Drosophila melanogaster: one gene and its partner. Changing the gene in region 2 together with the main gene of any one other region gives a genetic interaction. Each region holds a gene or a part of one and is shown on either strand. Other genes may lie near its edges.

Evidence for each region.
Region 1: of Fer3HCH (region 2) and fh, changing one suppresses a phenotype caused by changing the other (phenotypic suppression), as found in Drosophila melanogaster (2 studies listed by BioGRID).

The regions. Positions count from the first base shown.
Region 1 is NC_004354.4:9,147,525-9,150,951, forward strand, and holds fh (frataxin), read right to left. Parts: upstream 1,548-3,427; 5' UTR 1,489-1,547; coding exon 1,171-1,488; intron 1,102-1,170; coding exon 847-1,101; 3' UTR 556-846; downstream 1-555. Other genes in the region: CG7065 (uncharacterized protein), read left to right, coding at 1-99; Bap111 (brahma associated protein 111kD), read left to right, coding at 1,899-3,427. UniProt on the Drosophila melanogaster protein: Promotes the biosynthesis of heme as well as the assembly and repair of iron-sulfur clusters by delivering Fe(2+) to proteins involved in these pathways.
Region 2 is NC_004354.4:13,106,827-13,109,956, reverse strand, and holds Fer3HCH (ferritin 3 heavy chain homologue), read left to right. Parts: upstream 1-1,762; 5' UTR 1,763-1,860; coding exon 1,861-1,995; intron 1,996-2,057; coding exon 2,058-2,483; 3' UTR 2,484-2,575; downstream 2,576-3,130.

The DNA.
Region 1 (3,427 bases), 4.0 Mb from region 2:
CCGCCCTTCAACCAGATGCCCCAGAACTTTATGGGTGCCCAGCAGCAGCAGCAGCAGCAGCAGCCGCACTTTAACAACATGTTCGGTGGACGTCACTAGAGTGTCGTAGACTTAGATATCCATACTATTAACGTTATGCAATTTAAACGTAATGTAGAAACGAGAATAACGCCCTTTGAAGTGCCCGTGTATCTGCTAGCTGGCAAGTGATTTTTATTATTTTTTTTTTTACCATACATGTGTGCTGCTGCCAAAAAAAAGAAAAGAAAATAATCACTACCTTCATTTGTTTATAAAACACCGAACAACAATAGAATTCAGAAAACATAAATCTGAAGAGCACGTGAATAAACATACACAATAATTCCGGAAATCAACTTTAATCGACTTTCGTTTGGAATTATTAGCTGGGGGAGCTTTGAGTTCTGAATTCTGTGTATTGAAATAAAAATAAACGAAATGGAACGTACAAGTGACAAATAATAAAATAAAATAAAATATGTATAGCTACATATGATGTTCTTCAATGGTGATTTGATTATTATTATTTGATTTATACATTAAACAACTGATTTTTAAGTTTATTCCTCTCAAAAACAACAAATTTAAACTTCGAAACCAAAACTAATCGTACATAAATGAATAAGCGAATGCAAAGCATTTATACCAGAAGCTAAGCTTCACAGCTCCAGGGAAGTATAAGTATATACCTTTGCTCATCCGCAGCAGCAGCAGTTCCATGTATATCGAGTGACCACTGTGCCAACAGATGAAGAACAATAAATATATCAAAATCGAACGTTTCAACCGACTTTTTATGGAGGAGAATTTAAACTAATCACGGAATTAACTACAGTAGGGCAGGCGTAGGAAGTCCACGGACTGTGACTTCAGTATGCCGGGTATCTCCTGCTGCAACAGTTCGTGCAGCGACTGACCACTGTGCTTGTAGATCCATCTGCCCGCCGCCACAGTGCCGACGAAATCGTATCGCTTGGGACCGCTGGTGGGCGAACTGAGCCAGATCTGCTTGTTGGGCGTCTGCCGGTTGATCACATAGGTGCCGTGTTGTCCTCCCAGGTTCACGGTTAGCACGCCATCCTGTGGAAGCGGAAACCCCGCGAGGATTAGCAGGTCAATGGAATGATGTAATAGCCGAATGTCACCTACGCTGTAAGCCACATCCGTGCCCTGCAGCTCGGAGGCGTTCTCCGTCAGCTCCTCGAAGTAGTCGCACAGTGCGTCCAGGGTGTCGGAGCACACACGCTCGTAGGTGGCGCCGTCCAATGTGGATTCCGTCTCAATTTGACTGCTAAACAATCGCCGGTTGGCAGTGAATTCCTCGCATTGAATAGCAACTGCGGCTATCGCTGGTGTGCTGGGCAGGATCACTTGGCTGGCGTGTGCTTGGGGCTTTGACCACCTGCCCATGGTGGCCAAGCATGCCCGACCAACGATCGAACGGACCATCAAACGACCGGCAAACATTTTTTAGTTGTTTACGATTTGTTTATATTTTACAAATCCCAGTTGCGGGGCTGCCAACTTAATGGAAAATGATTTGCCGTTGGTATTTTCTAGATTCTAGTGTGGTATAATTTTTGATTTCTATAAAGCTGAATAAAAATGAGAAGTTACAGATTTTTTTTATTAGTAGCAGCAATTCAGCTAAAGTGTTCTGCTAGTTTTAGGTAACTAAAATTTTGTATATTCTCTAGCAGTTACTATTTCCTTATCATATATATTCCGCTATATATACCAATTCCCGGCTTATATGATTTTTCTTAGAATCAGATACGGCCACACCTCCACCAACGCCGACAGAAAATGGCGTCTGTCTGAAAATTGTTATTTCTCTTGGAAAATCCATACAAATTTGACCAGCGAATTGCACAAAGATGGCCCTGCCAAGCAACTACAAGCAGATAGCCGTTGGCGGCCAGGGATCGGCCACACCACTCCAGGGCGGCGGCGGTGGCTCCGGCGGCGGCAGCCGGTCGCGTTCATCCGGCGGCGGAGGTGGTGGCGATCGCAACAAGGATCAGACGCCCATCTTCACGCACAGCAACTATGGGAATCCGGCATTCACGCCACAGAAGGTAACCAAGTCGTCGAGCAGCAAGAACCAGAACGAATCAAGGCTACCCAAGCCACCAAAGCCGCCGGAGAAGCCCATTTTGCCCTACATGCGGTATTCGAAACGCGTCTGGGATAGCGTCAAGGCGAAGCATCCAGAGCTGAAGCTGTGGGAGCTGGGTAAGAAGATCGGTGCCATGTGGAAGTTGCTGCCCGAGGATGAGAAGACGGAGTTCATTGACGAATACGAGGCGGAGAAGCTGGAGTACGAGAAATCGCTAAAGGCCTACCACCAGACGCCCGCCTATCAGGCCTACATGTCGGCCAAGAGCAAGGTGAAGACCGACGTGGATATGCATGAGACACCGTCACGCGGTGGCGGCAGTAAGTCGCAGCATGAGCGACGCATCGACATTCAGCCGGCGGAGGACGAGGATGACCAGGACGAAGGGTATACGACCAAGCACTTGGCCTACGCCCGCTATCTGCACAACCATCGCCTGATTAACGAGATATTCTCGGAGGCCGTTGTACCAGATGTGCGTTCAGTGGTGACCACCACGCGGATGCAGGTGCTCAAGCGGCAGGTCAGCTCGTTGACGATGCACCAGACCAAACTTGAGGCGGAACTGCAGCAGATGGAGGAGAAGTTCGAGGCCAAGAAGCAGCGCATGGTGGAGTCCAGCGAAGCCTTCCAGGAGGAGCTAAAGCGCCACTGCAAGCCGGCGGTCGACGAGGAAACTTTCCAGAAGATGGTGCTTCGCATGTACGAGGACATCAAGCGCGATCGCCAGCGATTGGATGAACCGAATGCGAATGCGAATAGCGCAGCGAATCCTGCTGCAGCTGCCGCTACAGCTGCCGCCGCTCCAGTGACGAGGAGCGAGGAGGCAGTGAAGCCGCCAACGCAGCCAGGTCAGCCCGCTGCCACACCCGCTGGCCAAGAGCCGGCGTCGGCGGTACCAGCGCCAGCAGCTCCGCCCAAGGAGACACCGCCGGCTGTGAAGCCCGCTACACTCAATCCCACACCGAGTTCAACGCCTACGCCGGCGCCAGCGGTGCACGTGCACGAAACTGCCAGCAAAACGGATCCCGAGCCCATGGACATTGAGCCACCGCCGAAGCCATCGGTTCCGCCGCCACCCATCAAGCCAGAGAAGCTGGAGATGGCCGCTGCCCTGCCTCCGCAGTCAACGCTAGTCGAGCCACCCAAAACGGAACCCGCCAAAGTGGTGGCCCAGCCCGGCAAGGTGCCCACACCGGTGCCGACACCCACACCGCCGCCTGAGGTGGCTCCAGCGGCCGGAGCAGCTACTGCAGCGACCACAACAACGACGACGACACCAACGCC
Region 2 (3,130 bases):
AATAGATATTTTAGCAGCTTATATTTATACCAAAATTAAGATGGTACACATTTATAACACTTAATTATATACATACAATTGAATATTTTTTTAATATATAGTTTAATTTTTGGAACAAGTTTGTATGCTCTTTGAAAGAGTATCATGCCGACAATAGCTCAAATCGATTAAATATTTTCGTATGCCGTACGCTATTTTCGACCTCATGTTCAGCAAATTATGTTGGATTTTGTTTTTTTTTTTTTACCTCATATGCTGACGTTTGAGTTTTGTGTTAACACGTCGAATGTATATAAAAATTTTTTTGTGACTCCGCAGCTTAATTTAATGTTAATAATTTGTTGCACGTTTTTATGACACTGCAAACTGGATTGTTGCCATTATTTTGGAGGTGATGTAAATGTGTCGCTGAAGCTGTCACACTTGTCCAAATTAAAATCTTGTTGGCATTACGGGAGTGGAATTTGAAATTTAACTGAGTTCCGATGTGGATTTTGTTGAAATTCAATATGCTTAAGTAATTATAGAACTTTAATGCCTGTAAAATCTTCTACAAAATTCTAGAAATTTTTCTGTGTTCAAAAGCCTTTCCATTTGACCCTTAAATATTGAATAAGATAATAATTTTCATTTTTATTGCGACTGTTGCATAATGAACTAAACATGTTAATTGCCTCTATAAACACACAAGATCATATGTCATCGTTCACTTAATAAGTGTATATATTATTTAATCACAATCATAGGGAAAATTGTTTCATAATGCTTGAAAAAAAAAAACGTAAAGACTCATCTAAAAATGTTTGCTATTTTTTATTTGGGTTGTTATTGTCCAGTTCAACGATGATTTGCATAACTCCTATGTGTTTTTTTTCTCGGTTCGTTTTCCTGTGTGTCGGTGAAAATGAACCATTTATATCTTTATTATTGCCTTTTTATGGGGCGCACATGGCTTCAAGAGTCACCATTGCTTTGTTGGTTTTTTAAATGTGCGTAATGAGTGGATGTTTGTAGTAAAGTGCGAGTAGTTTTGACCACCTGGATGTTTATAGGAAATGTTTGGAAACCTCGGCTTGGGAGATCTTTACATTTTCAATACCCTAAACCTGTAAGACGCGTTGAACTCGCCTACGAAAGCATTTCATTTGAAATACAAAATATAATATTATGTTTTCTATCCTTTAATAAATTAAATTTCTTATTTTAACTTGCATTGGCTGTCGCAATTTTCTGTATCAGCAATATTTTGGGAAAAGCGTTCAAATACCCTATGAGAAAGGGTATAACACGATTATACAAAACTCGGACAAAAGTCGTCTTCCATTCACTTAATAAAAGACAATAACTGCGTTTACTTAGTGTGTCCGTGTTCGTGTGTACTTGTTGAAGTTAAAGCAAACATATCTGGACACAGATATTTAACTATATATGTACATATATACATATGTATCTGTATCTATAAGCTATACGTACGAACGTATATAGATGCGAACAAACCGAGTGAGAGATTGTGTACACACTATTGCTAAGTGGAAGTTAAGTGAAATCAGAGCCGGCAGCACTTTGAACTCCAACCCGTTGTTTTTTGGCCGTCCGAACGGTGGATCAACACCTCCTCCAGATCGCGAGATCGGAGATCGATGCGGAGATGTGAAGATCTGGATATTTGGAGATGAGATCAATGGACGAACTTAGATGGATCGTATCCGATCCATCGACACCTGTCCGAACCGACCCAGTTGCCTTTTAGACACACTGTTTGTGTTTTGACTTTCAATTCCAAATTGTATAGGTTTCTAAATTTTCAAAAACAAAAAAAAAAAAAAAAGATAGAAAAAAACTCAAAAAGAAGCAAAAGACATGGCGTGGTGCTTCCGCGACATTCGGCGCCACATGTGCATGCTGGTGCGTCAGAACTTCGCCAAAAGTTGCGAGAAGAAGCTAAACGATCAGATCAACATGGAGTTGAAGGCATCCCACCAGTATCTGGCCATGGTAAGGTTCCGCAGTCAATAGGGAATATATATATATGCATATAGTACGTTCAATACACGTAGGCCTACCATTTCGATCGCTCCGATATCAGTTCACCCGGAATGCATCGATTCTTCCTAAAGGCGAGCGTCGAGGAGCGGGAGCACGCGGAGAAGATCATGACGTACATGAACAAGCGTGGTGGTCTAATCATTTTGAGCAGTGTACCACAGCCGTTGCCCTGTTTCGCCAGCACCTTGGATGCACTAAAGCACGCAATGAAAATGGAACTGGAGGTCAATAAGCATCTGCTCGATTTGCACGCCCTGGCTGGCAAGGAAGCGGATCCGAATCTCTGCGATTTCATCGAGGCCAATTTCCTGCAGGAGCAAGTGGATGGCCAGAAGATTCTGGCCGACTATATTAGCCAATTGGAGAAGGCACAAAACCAGGTGGGCGAATTCCTGTTCGACAAGTATATGGGCAGCGGCATGCATCCTGCGAAATGAATACCTCAAAATGGACAACCATCCGATGAAGAATACGTATTATAATTGGCAAACCCATGTGTGTTCAGTAAAGATTCGTTTTTTGGCCGATCAATTGTTTTTTTTTTTTTTTTTTTGCTGCCACATTATCAAGTGGCTGGCGTAAAACTAACTCTATAAATATACTCGCTTATCGGCTCCAAGAGTTGCGCAAGATTCTAATTGAAATCGACACCGAAACTGAGTCCAAAAACAAAGCTTCACGAAATCAACAGCTAAACCCATCTGATAACCCTTTAGTTGGACCACAGTGTTGATGGTATTGGATAGTAACTCATCTGCTTTATCCAGTTCTGTAAATACGTTTCTAATCAAATGACACAATATTTCTGTTATATATATGATAACAGTTGATAATCTCGAATCTATAAAGATAAAAGTTAAAAGAAGCCTGACATTTAACTACGCTTGTTCTACCCATTATATAATAAAACACTTGGAACTTGATGATGAAGCAGTTGGTCTATATGATAAGCATTTGTGACGTATTAATAGGTTATCTATATCTATATAGATTGAGATCGTGAAAGTCGGCAAGACACGACAAATATAGTAACTCATTCATTTAGTTACATAGAATATAATATGAAATAAGTACAGAATTGCGA